Callithrix jacchus: one gene and its partners. The protein of the gene in region 1 purifies or fractionates together with the protein of each later gene. This does not show direct contact. Links are inferred from orthologs where the notes say so. Each region holds a gene or a part of one and is shown on either strand. Other genes may lie near its edges. The genes, in order: SF3A3, SNRNP70, SNRPA and SF3B6.

Evidence for each region.
Region 2: the proteins of SF3A3 (region 1) and SNRNP70 fractionate together in Homo sapiens (co-fractionation; 3 studies listed by BioGRID). This does not show direct contact. The link is inferred for Callithrix jacchus from reciprocal best matches to the Homo sapiens genes SF3A3 and SNRNP70.
Region 3: the proteins of SF3A3 (region 1) and SNRPA fractionate together in Homo sapiens (co-fractionation; 4 studies listed by BioGRID and IntAct, with this or other methods). This does not show direct contact. The link is inferred for Callithrix jacchus from reciprocal best matches to the Homo sapiens genes SF3A3 and SNRPA.
Region 4: the proteins of SF3A3 (region 1) and SF3B6 purify together in Homo sapiens (affinity purification with mass spectrometry; 3 studies listed by BioGRID and IntAct, with this or other methods). This does not show direct contact. The link is inferred for Callithrix jacchus from reciprocal best matches to the Homo sapiens genes SF3A3 and SF3B6.

The regions. Positions count from the first base shown.
Region 1 is NC_133508.1:74,552,717-74,556,281, reverse strand, and holds part of SF3A3 (splicing factor 3A subunit 3), read left to right. Parts: intron 1-110; coding exon 111-249; intron 250-963; coding exon 964-1,032; intron 1,033-1,427; coding exon 1,428-1,495; intron 1,496-1,660; coding exon 1,661-1,768; intron 1,769-3,393; coding exon 3,394-3,463; intron 3,464-3,565. UniProt on the Homo sapiens protein: Component of the 17S U2 SnRNP complex of the spliceosome, a large ribonucleoprotein complex that removes introns from transcribed pre-mRNAs.
Region 2 is NC_133523.1:42,904,083-42,907,647, forward strand, and holds part of SNRNP70 (U1 small nuclear ribonucleoprotein 70 kDa), read left to right. Parts: intron 1-2,353; coding exon 2,354-2,416; intron 2,417-2,529; coding exon 2,530-2,584; intron 2,585-3,565. UniProt on the Homo sapiens protein: Component of the spliceosomal U1 snRNP, which is essential for recognition of the pre-mRNA 5' splice-site and the subsequent assembly of the spliceosome. SNRNP70 binds to the loop I region of U1-snRNA.
Region 3 is NC_133523.1:36,292,173-36,296,509, reverse strand, and holds the start of SNRPA (U1 small nuclear ribonucleoprotein A), read right to left. Parts: upstream 2,857-4,337; 5' UTR 2,742-2,856; intron 2,577-2,741; exon of another isoform or gene 2,506-2,576; intron 2,246-2,505; exon of another isoform or gene 2,048-2,245; 5' UTR 2,026-2,047; coding exon 1,953-2,025; intron 1-1,952. Other genes in the region: ACTMAP (actin maturation protease), read left to right, coding at 3,617-3,939. UniProt on the Homo sapiens protein: Component of the spliceosomal U1 snRNP, which is essential for recognition of the pre-mRNA 5' splice-site and the subsequent assembly of the spliceosome. U1 snRNP is the first snRNP to interact with pre-mRNA.
Region 4 is NC_133515.1:91,183,841-91,187,037, reverse strand, and holds the end of SF3B6 (splicing factor 3B subunit 6), read right to left. Parts: intron 1,115-3,197; coding exon 976-1,114; intron 809-975; coding exon 719-808; 3' UTR 539-718; downstream 1-538.

The DNA of each region.
Region 1 (3,565 bases):
AAAAATACTATTACTAGAATTATAAGTACTATTTATTCTACAGGGAATATAACAAGATACCAAAAATATAAACCCTTTTTGCTTTCTCTTTGTTACGTGTTCCTCTGTAGATACCTAGAGATGCTGCTTGAGTACCTTCAGGATTACACGGATAGAGTGAAGCCTCTCCAAGATCAGAATGAACTTTTTGGGAAGATTCAGGCTGAGTTTGAGAAGAAATGGGAGAATGGGACCTTTCCTGGATGGCCGGTGAGCTACAGTGGGGTGTGAATGGTGGACATGCCAGGGAATTGAACTGATTATTTTCCTTTATCTTGAGCTTCCACTTTAGGGCATTAGGTATCAATTCCTTGGTATCATTTGTGACCATGAGGTATTCCCTGCCGAGTATGCTAGGTTTTTCTGTGTGTACTTTGGAGCAAGATTATCAGGGCCCACTTGCCTTGGACTGTGCCCAGATTTTCGCCAATCATATCATTACTGCCATGTGGTTTCTGCTTACCAAAAGCTTATTCAATCATATGTTAGGAATCTGTATTCTTGCTTGTGGGGATAAACCTGAGTTTTTCCTGAACTCCCCAGGCAGGGAATGTGGACCAACTTTACCTTCATCCTAAACCTGTTTTGTTTTTTTGTTTTTTGGAAGCAAGTTTTCCATCTTGCTCCTAGGCTGGAGTGCAGTGGCACAATCATACCTCACTGCTGCAGCCTCAACTGCCTGGACTCAAGAGATCCTCCCACTTTAGACTCCTGAGTAGTTGGCACATGCCACCATACCCAGCTAATTCATGTATTTTTTTGTAGAGATGGGGTTTCACCATGTTGCTGTGGCTGATCTCTTAACTTCTGAGCTCCAGCAGTTCACCCACCTTGGCCTCTCAAAGTGTTGAGATTACAGTTGTGAGCCACCACGCCCGGCCTAAACCTGGACCTTAATAAATAACATGTTGTTCTTCTTTCCAGAAAGAGACAAGCAGTGCTCTGACCCATGCTGGAGCCCATCTTGACCTCTCCGCATTCTCCTCCTGGGAGGTATGTTTCCTTCAGCGGTAGTACTGTTCTCCCTGTCTATCTTTCAGAGGGACCACTTGCTCTCCTGTCTTTAATACCGTGGTTGTGTTGTGATAAGGCACTCTTTCCTGGGATCAAGCATCTACAAAGAAGGTAGCAAGGTAAAAAGAAAAAAATAACTACTTGGGAAACTGAAATAATCGCTCTAACTACATTAAGCTGTAGTAACAGTAATAGTTAATACCAGTATGTTTAAGTCTGAAGATGACTACAGGCTCAGTCCTCTGGAGAGTTTAGACTTACTGCCAGATCGGCTATGAAATGTGTGGTCCTGCCACAGCCTCAGGAACACCCACCCACTGGCCTGCATTTGTTGTTTCCCAAAAATCTCAATTGTACTTTTTCTCTTTGTACAGGAGTTGGCCTCTCTGGGTTTGGACAGATTGAAATCTGCTCTCTTAGCTTTAGGCTTGAAATGTGGCGGGTAAGGAATGGTTTTTCTATCAAAACTGTTTGATTTACTGTGTGTTTGCACAGTCTTCTAAGTAGCTCTGATTACGTATTTTTTTCTGTTGCTCCAAACTGCAAAAATAAGCAAGCCTGTGTGATAAAGTAACCCTGAAATCCTTTGCCTGTTCTGTCTCCTTAGGACCCTAGAAGAGCGAGCCCAGAGACTATTCAGCACCAAAGGAAAGTCCCTGGAATCACTTGATACCTCTTTGTTTGCCAAAAATCCCAAGTCAAAGGGCACCAAGCGGTGAGTGGCTGGGGTAGCACCTCTCTTTGTGGCTTTTGAATGTCATTCCCATGCACAATTTTTAACCACAGTGGAGATTTTAAATTAGAGTCTGCTTTATTCCCATTATTGGTTGACAGATTCAGCCTGCTCTTTTGTATTTTAAGTAGAGACGGGGTTTCACCATATTGGCCAGGCTGATCTTGAACTCCTGACCTCGCAATCTGCCGGCCTCGACCTCCCAAAGTGCTGGGATTACAGACGTGAGCCACTGCGCCCAGCCAAAAAATATTTTTCTAAGCTTATTTTTGGTAATGAAAGTTGAATCTAATTCTTGAGCTGCATACTTATACAGGGTCTTTTCTTTTTTTTTGACACACAGTTTCGCTCTGTCACCCAAACTGGAGTTCACCTCCCAGGTTCAAGGGATTCACTTGCTCAACCTCCTGAGTAGCTGGGACTACAGGTGTGCACCACCACACCTGGCTGATTTTTGTATTTTTAGTAGAGATGGGTTTCGTCATGTTGGCCATGCTGGTCTGCATCTCCTGAGCTTAAGTGATTCACCCACCTTGGCCTCCCAAAGTGCTGAGATTATAGGTGTGAGCCACTGCACCCAGCTGAGGGATTTTTTTTTTCTTTTTTGAGATGAAGTCTCACTCTTTTGCCCAGGCTGGAGTGCAGTAGCACAGTCTTGGCTTATTGCAACCTCTGCCTCCCAGGTTTAAGTGATTCTCCTGCCTTAGCCTCCCGAGTAGCTGGGATTATAGACACCTGCCACCATGCCTGGCTAATTTTTTGTATTTTTAGTAGAGACAGGGTTTCACCATGTTGGCCAGGCTGGTTTTGAACTCCTGACCTCAGGCAATCCACCTGCCTTGGCCTTCCAAAGTGCTGGGATTACAGGTGTGAACCACTGTGCCCACCTAATTTTTGTATTTTTAGTACAGACAGGGTTTCACCATGTTGGCCAGGCTGGTTTTGAACTGACCTCAGGCAATCTACCTGCCTTGGCCTTCCAAAGTGCTGGGATTACAGGCATGAGCCGTTGCACCCGCCCAATTTTTGTATTTTTAGTAGAGACGGGGTTTCACCATGTTGGCCAGGCTGGTCATGAGTGCCTGACTTCAAGCGATCCTCCTGCCTCAGCTTCCCAAAGTGCTGGGATTACAAGCATGAGCCACCGCGCCTGGCCCATTTTCTTAATGCATGTTTTTTTCTAATTCTTACAACAACCCTAAAAAGTAATTGTTATTCTGAGTTTTTACAGATAAGGACCCAGAAAAGTTATGGTATGTGTCCACTCTCTCATAGTTGTAAGTAGCAGAGTCAGGATTTGGGCCCAGGTCTATCTACTGCAGAACTTGCTCTTCTATATCACATTTTTTTGTAGATTATAATGATGGAAATTTAAGTGCTCTTGATATGTCTTTCACCTTCTAGATGAGGTCATAGAGGAAGCCTCCATGCATTCTAAGAAATATTTCTGTCAGAGTCACGAGATGACAGAGCATTTGCTTTCACAGGATGTCATTTCTCGTGTTTATAATTTTTAATGCAGTGTGCAGTAACTGTTCCCAGATATAGGGAGCAAAGCAATGGATGAGAGAATCCTTGAGTGATAATGGCTTGTTTCTTTTTCTCAGAGACACTGAGAGGAACAAAGACATTGCTTTTCTAGAAGCCCAAATCTATGAATACGTAGAGATTCTCGGGGTAAGTGACTGCTGAAAGCGGAAAATTGGTGTAAAGTATGGGAGTTAAATGGCGAGGAACTCATGGAAGATATTTTTTTCTCTAGGTTCAAAAGAGTAATGG
Region 2 (3,565 bases), on another chromosome or scaffold:
TGGATCTTCATTGGGATTTGCCACCCTGGATGAACCAGCACTTAAGAAATGTTACTAGCCAATTAACTTAATTTAATGGGCACAGGCAGGTGGTAGATGCCCTCTGATGATGATGTGCCAGTTACTATTTATGAGACTGAGTTTCACTTTTGTTGCGCAGGCTGGAGTGCAGTGGTGTGATTTCAGCTCACTGCAGCCTTCAGTTCAAGCAGTTCTGCCTCAGCCTTTCCAGTAGCTGGGATTACAGGCATGTGCCACCATGCCTGGCCAATTTTGTATTGTTAGTAGAGATAGGGGTTCGCCATGTTGGCCAGGCTGGTTTCGAACCCCTGACCTCCAGTGATCCACCAGCCTTGACCTTCCAAACTGCTGGGATTACAGGCGTGAGCCACCACGTCCAGCAACCAGTTACTATTTAATGCATGGTTGGTGACACCTTTAAGTGCTGCCCTGGCACTCAGAGGGTGTGCAGTGTGGGCTTCGGAGTCCTGTCCTGTCAGCTCATGTTGCTTCAGGCCTGGTCCTCTTAACTGACTCTCATAAACAGGGCCCTCCCGTAACTCCGCTCCCATCACATCTTCTGGCACTTTGTTCAATGTGAGTGATGCTTGGAGCTGTGAGAAGCAGCGTGTTTCCTGAATATGGAAGACAGGGACCTTCAGCACTGTATTTTTAAGCTAGGTGTCACCTGTGCCAGTGCTTTTCAAACTGTCATTGGTGAAGGGCAGTTTCCAATCTGTTGCAGATTGATGCTTTTGATAAATAGGATAGAATTACTTTTTTTTTTTTTTGCGACGGAGTTTCGCTCTTGTTACCCAGGCTGGAGTGCAATGGCACGATCTCGGCTCACCGCAACCTCCGCCTCCTGGGTTCAAGCAATTCTCCTGCCTCAGCCTCCCGAGTAACTGGGACTACAGGCGTGCACCACCATGCCCAACTAATTTTTGTATTTTTAGTAGAGACGGTGTTTCACCTTGTTGACCAGGATGTTCTCCATCTCTTGACCTCATGACCTGCCTTGGCTTCCCAAAGTGCTGGGATTATAGGCGTGAGCCACTGCGCCCGGCCTAGAATTACTTTTTAAAGAAAGACTTACAGTCAGAAGTTCTAGACCAACCTGGCCAATATGGTGAAACCTCCTCTCTACTAAAAGTACAAAAATTAGCCAGCATAGTGTCGTTTACCTGTAATCCCAGGTACTCAGGAGGCTGAGGCAGGAGAATCACTTGAACGATTCTAGTCAGTTCCTGGGTTCCTTTTAGAAACACACGATTGCTAGTGGGTTCCTTGTAGAGACAGCACAGAGGGGAAAGCAGGACGTAGAATCGCTTGAACCTGGGAGGTGGAGGTTGCAGTGAGCCGAGGTCGCGCCATTGTACTCCACCCTGGGTCACATAGCAAGACTTTGCATCAAAAAATAGAAGACCTGGCGGGGCGCGGTGGCTCAAGGCTGTAATCCCAGCACTTTGGGAGGCCGAGGCGGGTGGATCACGAGGTCGAGAGATTGAGACCATTCTGGTCAACATGGTGAAACGCCATCTCTACTAAAAATACAAAAAATTAGCTGGGCATGGTGGCGTGTGCCTGTAATCCCAGCTACTCAGGAGGCTGAGGCAGGAGAATTGCCTGAACCCAGGAGGCGGAGGTTGCGGTGAGCCGAGATCGCGCCATTGTACTCCAGCCTGGGTAACAGGAGCGAAACTCGGTCTCAAAAAAAATAAATAAATAAAATAAAATAGAAGACCTGCAGAATAAAAGACCAAATTTGTATTAGTCAGTGAGCGTAAAACTGTGAAATTACTGTAGAAGTTTCTTAGCACTTACTCCTGGTTTCTGTACTTCTCACAGTCCAGCAGGTTTGGATAGTGCTGGTCCATGGACTGTGCTTCTTTTCTAAGATAGGGTCTTATTCTGTCATCCAGGCTGGAGTGCACTGTCACAGTCATTGTTCATGGCCGCCTCGCTCTCCAGTGCCCAAGAGATCCTCCTCCTTAGCCACCCTAGTAGCTGGGACTATAGACGTGTGCCCCCACACCTGGCTTATTTGTAAATTTTTAGTAGAGATGGTGTTTCACTGTGTTTCCCAGGCTGGTCTGAAACCCCTGGGCTCAAGCATTCTTCCTGTGTCATCCCCCCCAAAGTGATGAGATTACAAGTGGAAGCCACTGTGTGTGGCTGCAGACCATGCTTTGATCTGTGCCACTCCTCTCCCTCCACAGTGACTGGGGAAGTGTACATGTGTGTGTGTTTTTGTAGTGGGGGTGGGAGGGGTGACATGCTTATTTCCTTGGTGAGCGTCCCTTTCCGTTTCCCCTAGTCCTTCCCACCCTGTCACCTCTCTTCTTGTTCCTAGGACCCTCGAGATGCCCCTCCTCCAACTCGTGCAGAAACCCGAGAGGAACGCATGGAGAGGAAAGTATGTCATTTTTGTTTCCAGACCCCCACCTTTCGCTGTTTTCTCCACATGGTCCTTGACACCAGGGTACTTCTATCTGCGTTTACTTATCCACCTCCCCTTTCTCATGACAGAGACGGGAGAAGATTGAGCGGCGACAGCAGGAAGTGGAGACAGAGCTCAAAATGTGTAAGTCTCTCATCCACTGTTCTCCCCGCTGTGTTCTTTCCAGGTCACTCAGTATCCTGCTGTCTCCCAAAGGCCTGTTTTTGGGGGAGCAGGATTGTTCTTTTATTTGGTCCCTGCCACTTGGCAAGCCCTGTTTTTGGTTTGGGCTTTTCAGCAGCAGAATATGGGGTAAAAGTTGGTGGGAAGGGAGACCCCTGGTACCTTGGGCTCTTCCTGCAGGGGAGGACAGTTATAAGGGGCTCCCACAACCCAGCTGGGTCTCAGGCTGAGGCAGTGAGTTGTGGGCTAGTGGGTCCGTCCCAGCTCTACCCTTAGCTCCCTGACCTTTGGGCTGAGGACGTTCATCCCCTCCACGTATCAGAGGAATTGGGAGTACAGGACAGGAGTATTGTCGTCATTAACCAAACCGATAAGCTCAGTTATCAACCTCCAGTGGCTCTTTATTGTGAGAGTGAAAACTCACGCAGCATAGTGATATTTCAGTCAGCAGGGGACCACAGCTGTGACGGTGAGCCCATGTGATTAGACTATATTTTGCTGGGCGCGGTGGCTCATGCCTATAATCCCGTACTTTGGGAGGCTGAGGCAGGTGGACTGTGAGGTCAGGAGTTTGAGATCAGCCTGGCCAGCCTGGTGAAACTCTGTCTATATACAAATAAAAATTAGCCGGGTGTGGGGGTGCGTGCCTGTAATCCCAGTTACTCGGGAGGCTGAGGCAGGAGAATCTCGAACCTGGGAGGTGGAGGTTGTTGCCATTGTACTCCACCCTGTGCAACAAGCCGGGCGCGGTGGCTCACGCCTGTAATCCCAGCACTTTGGGAGGCCGAGGCGGGCGGATCAAGAGGTCAAGAGATCAAGACCATCCTGGCCAACATAGTGAAACCCCGTCTCTACTAAAAATATAAAAAATTAGCTGAGCGTGGTGGCGCTCGTCTATAGTCCCAGCTGCTTGGGAGGCTGAGGCCCGAGAATTGCTTGAAC
Region 3 (4,337 bases), on another chromosome or scaffold:
ACCAGGATTCTATGTCACCAGTGTGCCCCCAGCACTGCCTGATACTGGTTGGGTAGCACACTCTAAAAGCATATGCAATATTTACATTCCTGATTTTGTCTTTTTTTTTTTTTTTTTTTTTTTTTTTTTGAGACAGTCTCACACTACCGTCCTGGCTGGAGCACAGTGGTGCGAACTCTGCTCACTAAGACCTCTACTTCCTTCCCGTGTTCTGGGAGGGAAAAAGTAAAAAATTGCAAAAAAAAAAAAACACCCAAAAACCTCCGCTTCCTGGGTTTCAAGTGATTCTTCTGCCTCAGCCTCCCGAGTAGCCGGGGCTACAGACATGCACCGCCACACCTGGCTAATTTTTGTATTTTTAGTAAAGACAGGGTTTCAGCATGTTAGCCAGGCTGGTCTCGAACTCCTGGCTTTAAGTGATCTACCCGCCTCTGCCTCCCAGTGTGTTGGGATTACAGGCGTGAGCCACTGCGCCTGGCTGTAGGCTATGCTTTCCTCAAGCGCAACTTCACTGGTAACCTCAAACTGAATCCCAGCAAGCTCCTTCGCTTCTCCCGACAATTTTCTTGAGGTGATAAGAGCTAACATTTATCCAGCCCTTCCTAGCTGCCAGGTACCATAAAACAGAAACACTTAGAGATTTAGCTAATTTAATTTCCCCCAACATCGATGCAAAGAAGGTATTATGACTTTGTTCAGTTTTCAGACACAGAAAATGAGGTTCAATAAAGGTGATAATTTACTTGAGAAAGCTGTAGAGTCTTGCCGATTTCAATAATCAAGTTCTTTTTTTACATAGGTTCTTGCTCTGCCCAGGCTGCAGTGCAATCATAGCTCACTGCAGCCTCAACCTCTGTAGCTCAAGCGATCCTCCCATCTCAGCCTCCTGAGCAGCTGGGACCACAGACGTGACCCACCCATGCCCAGGCTTTTTTTTTTTTTTTTTTGTAGAGACAAGATCTCGCTTTGTTGCCCAGGCTGATCTTGAACTCCTGTGTTTAAGTGATCCTTTCGGCCTGAGCCACCACGCCCTGCCAAAAACGGGAGTTAGATACCGGTGGCTATGTGACCCAGGCCAAGTCACATCACCCCAGTCTCAGCTTATTTGAGGAATGGGAATAACAAAAGCCTTCTTTCTTCCTACAGGCTTGTTTTGAGGATTAAATGTAACCAAGATTGGGAGCGGTGGCTCACGCCTGTAATCCCAGCACTTTGGGAGGCCGAGGCGGGCGGATCACAAGGTTAAGAGATCGAGACCATCTTGGTGAAATCCCATCTCTACTAAAAATACAAAAAATAGCCGGGCATGGTGGCACGTGCCTGTGGTCCCAGCTACTCAGAAGGCTGAGGTGGGAGAATCGCTTGAACCCAGGAGTCGGATGTTGCAGTGAGCCGAGATTGCGCCACTGCACTCCAGCCTGGGGATAGAGCAAGACTCCGTCTCAAAAAAAAAAAAAAAAAAAAAAAAAAAAAAAAAAAATAGCGCATAGACCAGCCCATGATACAGAGCGTTAGCCCCAGTACGGTACATTTTCACTGTGCACTGATCACTGAAAACGCCGGTGACCAAGAAGCCCCAGGCGTTGCCCTCATGGAGCTCAAAGGCCACTGGGAGGAGAGAGAGCCCCACGACAGCCCAGAGGAATCCGGGCTTGATGGAAGGAAGTCAGGGGCAGCCACGTGAAGGGACGCAGGATAGGGAAGGCTTCCTGGAGGAGGGGTCCTGTGTCCTGAAACCTTGTAAGATGAGCAACAGTGACCAGGTTAAAGGGCAGAGTGTAAGATGAACTAACGAGTGTTGAAGACAGAGGAAGTCGTTTGTGTAAAGGCCAAAGGGTTCACTGGAACAGTTTGCTTGGACGAACACTGAGAAAGAAAAGCAGGTGCAGGGGGTGGAAGGGAGACCAGCCCGTGCGGGACAGCCTGGAGTGCGGACTATCCCGAGAACTCACCATCCTTCTTGATCTTCTCATTGAGGTTGTTGATATAAATAGTGTGGTTAGGGCGGGTCTCGGGAACTGCCATGGAGTGAAGTGTCGAGGTAAGGCTTAAACGAGAAATAACGTGACTTTAGCCCTGGTTTTCTCCAAATCCTTTGTCCCAACGTTGGCTTAACGGGGGGCTCAAGGTTCTTCCTTCCGAGAGGAAGTCAGGTAAGGCGGGAGTGGGAAGGACGGAGGCACAGCGTGGGCAACAAAGCGTGCGTAGGACCCACTTCTCGAGCCCGCGTGCAGAGGGAACTCTCGAGAGATTTACTACGAGTTCCAGGATGCTCTACGCGACCCAGTGGGCGGAGCCCCCTAAATGGCGGTTCCCATTGGTCGACGCGTCCGAAGGGCAGTCCGGGAGAAAAAACCCGGATGTAAGAGCCAGTAAAGGAAGAAAGGATGGGTCTTGGGCAGCCTGGCCTCGAGAGGCAGAAGTTTCCTCAGACGGGCACAGGAAGGCCCGGACGCCAAGCGCACCGCCCGCCTTCCGCCGATGTTAGTCTGCGCCCGAGGTTACCTTCCGATGGGGCCGCAGTTTTCTCAACTGGCGCCTGCTACTTTTCTGAGACCAAACCACAAAGCTTTCTCTCCTGGCCCCGCCTCTACCTTTCTGTCAGCCAATCCCCATGCGGAAACTCAGTAGCTTGCCCAATCAGAGCAAGACTCGTTTCTAGGCTCAGTTCTTGCCAATCAAAACGATATTTGGGTTCCCGCTTAGGTAGAAAAACTCCGCCCCACTTTCGACAAGCCCACCTCCTTCCGTAGCTCCCGAGTCTACGGACCAATCAGTGAAGGTCACGATTGTTTTGCCAATCGGGACGCGTTTCGAACTGCGGTGTCTTCCGGAGGCAAGCCTGTTTGAAGCCCCGCCTCTTCCCCGCGTGAGATGCGTTTTCTGTCACGTGATCGCCAAATGGGCGGGCACTATTGAGGGTGATACCACATAATATGGGAAAGGCTGTGTGCGGGGGCCGCCATTTTGCGGGAGTGGGCGGCTCATTTTACTTCCTGACTCCTTTCCCTGTTCCACCGGTTATCGCGGCGCCCTCCAGCCTGTGATCTCTGAGTCTTCTCCAACCCACGGAGGTTTTTTATTGCTCTGACTCCAGGACCTTCTCCACAACTAGGCCACTTTCCCTGCCAGGTGTCCTTTTTGACCTCTTGCCTCTGACTCAAAAGGTCAGCTCAAAGGTTCCGAACTCGGGCCTGGGATGTGAGAGGGGACTGAGTCTAAGTTCTCCGAATCTTTAGCCCCGGGCCCCTAAGTCGCACCCTTCAGGCACCTCACTCTATGTCTGAGCCTTCATATCCCAGACTTACCCATGAGTTTCCACATTCGGCCCCAGAGAAGGAGTTAACTCCTACTAACTGTCCACCTAAGCCTCCCGAGGTAACAACCCGTCCCCGCCGTGTTAGCCGTCAGGTGCCTTAAGGCTGAGGTCAGCCTCGCAATTCCTGCTCCCACTGTTTCAAATGTTAGCCCTGGTCCTTTCACACCCACTGCTCTGCCCCCAGATTCTGGAATTCAGCTCTTAAACTTTTAAAATTTCCGTCCCTGAGGCCGTCCTCTTGGACGATCCCTCCCTCCCCACCTTCTGAACCCCTCAGCACCTCCTGGAGACCCCAAAATGACTTCACCAAGCTCTCCTCCCCTAAAATCACCAATCCCTCCTCCAAGAACCCCTGTACCCCAAGCCAGCAGCATTCCACCTCCTCCTCTACCCCCAAGTGCCCTGGACTTTTTAGCTTTTTCATCCCGTCCCTGGAGTCAGCAAACTCCTGTTCCCCCACCGCCCCCACTGCCTCCTCCACCCGCTGCCTCGGGGCCTGCTCGCCCTCATGTCTTCGGCCTGGAGAAGAGCCAGCTCCTGAAGGAGGCCTTGGAGAAGGCTGGCCCGGTCCCCAAGGGCAGAGAAGATGTGAAGAGGCTCCTGAAGCTGCACAAGGACCGGTAGGGTCTCCATACCCCACCCACCGCCCAGGCTCTGCCCCAGTTGCTTCTCCGCAGATCACTTCAGCCGCCTCCTCTTGTCTCCTCTTGGGGGGTTCTCGTGTCCTCAAGATCAAACAGCCTGACTATTTAGGACCCCCACGTAGACCCCTTGCGTGGTGGTGTGCCTCCAGCAGTGAAGAAGCTGTCCTCACAAGTGCCCCGTCCAGAACCGGGCGTGGTGGCTCAGGCCTGTAATCCCAGCTACTTTGGGAGGCCGCGGCCGGCAGACCTGAGGTCAGGAGTTGGAGATCAGCCTAACCAATATGGTGAAACCCCATCTCTACTAAAAATACAAAAATTAGCCTGGTGTGGTGGAGTGCAGCTGTAGTCCCAGCTACTAGGGAGGCTGAGGCAGA
Region 4 (3,197 bases), on another chromosome or scaffold:
AGCAGCTTGCTCTCAAACTTCTACCAATGTGACAACCATTATATACCCATAATAATTTTCAAAAAAATTTAGAGAGGCAAATCTAAGTTTCTAACAGTGTACTACCATCTAAATGACCATTTCTAGAATAGACCTCTGTTCTAAGACAAGGGTACCCATACTGACAAAGGTATTTTGTTAACTATAAAGCAAGCATCATTCAAATGTAAAGGCTTGGTTGCTATTACACCAGCTTTGTAGGTTAGCATTTTATTCATTCACCCAACATCATGAGCTTTGGTTTCCTCGCCTGCAAAATGCAAATACCTATCTTCACTGAGTTGTTATAAAGATCCATTATTAATAGACATTCAATAAACAGCAAGTTCCTTTGACGGCTAAGCACTGCACTGGACCCCGGAGGCATTAAGAATATAAAGAGGTCCTGTTTTCAAGAAACTCGGACTCCCTAGGAGCACCTACAATTCCTGATAAGCTTCAACTATTTTTTTCCTGGTATCAAACAGGGAGGGAAAGTTCAAAAGAAAAGACAGACGTGTTTCACAAAAAGCAACAGGTTTATTAATATCATGTATTCTGATATGTATCAAAGTTTCAAGGTCATTTTGAACCTAAAATAAGAAATCACAATATTTAGTATTAATTAAAAAGGAAAAAAAGGGAAAAGATGGTAGTTGTCATTCATGGTTTCAGTCCAAAATGAAAATGTAGAAAACATTTATTTTGGTGGATCTGTGTTGATGCCATACTTCTCCTTGAGAAGCTTCAACTGTTCCTCCTTCTTCTTTGTGTCCATCTTCTGAAATGCCTGGAAATGCAGTAAGCACCAAAGTTGAATTACCGATCTACAGCCAAATAAATTTCACCAATAGCATTAGCCAAAAAATAGTCACAGTAGACATATATCGTCACAGCACAGTTCTACACTAATTTTCAAATGAGATCACCATACAAGGAGAACTTGGCTATACTTACCCTGTTGGCATTATAGTACAAAACCACAAGGTATCTGTTACAAACATTGAATCCTGATAGGTGATCACATGCATTCTTGGCATCAAAGATGTCCTCATAGACCACATAAGCTGTTCCTCTAGTTTCAGGTGTGTTCCCCCTGGAGAGTTAAATCAAACTTAATTAAGATATACGTTTACCTGAGCATTGAGTTGAATAACAGAACTGTCTTTTAAACTGGTAACTGTCTTCTAAAGACAGTAAACTGAAATATGTTTTTAATTTAAATATTTTGAAACCAACCTGAAACCATAAGAGGAAATAAACACGCATAGATAACTAGATAAGCCTGTAATTTCTTGAATTCGGTAATTTTGTTTTTTGTTTTTATCTTAAGTAAAACATCTATAGGTCAAGCTTACTGCTATATCAGGAATACTAGGAACACAGCTACTACCCAGAACTCAGCTTCTTACCACCCTGTCTGGCACTACATTGCTTTTTTTTTGAGATGGAACCTCACTCTTGCCTAGGTTGGAGTGCAGTGGCATGATCCCAGCTCACTGCAACCTCTGCCTCTCAAGTTCAAGTGATTCTCATGCCTCCCAAGTAATTGGGACTCCAGGCATGTGCCACCATGTCCAGCTAATTTTTGTACTTTTAGTAGAGATAGGGTTTTGCCCTGTTCCCGGGCTGGTCTCGAACTCCTGACCTCAAGTGATTGAGCTGCCTCAGCCTCCCAAGGTGTTGAGATTACAGGCATGAGTCACCAAACCTGGTCTACATTCATTTTTAATACAACTCAATGCCTTTTTAATACAAACTCTAATGCATGATACAGCTGTATGGCTGGGGAGAAGGGCTAGGCTTCTGCAAAGATGGGAGTGGAAGTGTGCTTATAGATAGGGTTATCTGTGAGCAAGGGCAGAATGCTGGAAGGTGACTGGAAGTGGAAACTAGACCTTACTCATAGATATGGGGCTGCTGTTAGTGTAGGTATTCCTGGCCACTTCCTTCCTTCACTTCATCAGCTTCCTCTGAGAGAGGTAGAGAAGTGTGAGGAGCAACAGAACACTAAATTGTAGGCAGCAGCTGGCCATGTGATTGTCAGTGGGGACAATGGGTAGAGTTCCCACTCAGTTCATGCTCTGGATGACAAGATGGCCCCCTTGCCTCCATCTGTGTTCTGACCACCCAGTGCAACCGTGGAATGAGGTTTAAGATTGTTGGCTTTCCATCTGCCACAGTCCCTACATAGGGTTGAATAAAAGCAGTGGAGCCATGGGAAGTGGAGGCACATGCCTAGACTTGATCTAGGACAAGATTATAGTCCGGGCCCTGCTCAAGCTTCTGCTTCCTATAACATTGAAAAGGTGCAGGGTGCTGGGGGTGATTGGAGGGTGCCAGTGTCAATGAGTATGCTCACTTTGTCAGGTTACGTGGGCCTGATCTCGGGTTTTAGAATGTTCTTTAGGATCTGGGAAGTCTTAACAACTTTCAGACTTTTGACTTTTAAAAACTTAACAAGATTTTCAGTTCTTTAAGAGCAAAGGTGATCTTATGCCTACTTCATTTACTCCTATAGTGCCACACATAAGGCAGATGCTAATATGCCTTTGAAAGGTGGAGATCTACTTCCTATCAATTCTCTCACACATACTTTCTCCAGGAAGCTCAAAACAAAGCAACTCTCTTTCTTCCTCTTACATCTTCTTAGGAACCAGCATAGGGATAGATACTAACCCCACTTTAAAGACCCTCCATCTCAAGTGTCCCAGTCTTAATTATCAGCCTCACATCTTGAGAGCTGTATTATAATCTGAACATATATATATATATATATATATATATATATATATATATATATATATATATATATATTTTGAGATGGAGTCTTGCTCTGTCGCCCAGGCTGGAGTGTAAAGGCGCTATCTCGGCTCACTGCAACCTCCACCTCTTGGGTTCAAGTGATTCTCCTGCCTCAGCCTCCTGAGTAGCTGGGATTACAGGCACCCGCCACCATGCCTGGCTAATTTGTTTTATCTTTAGTAGAGACAGGGTTTCACCATGTTGGCCAGGCTGGTCTCAAACTCCTGACCTCATGATCTGCCTGCCTCGGCTTCCCAACATGCTGGGATTACAGGCATGAGCCACCGTGCCTGGCCAATTGGAACTTTTAAAAGCATGTATTTGTACCATGTATAGGGCACTGAGCTAACATTATTTTCTTATTTTTTTTAGAT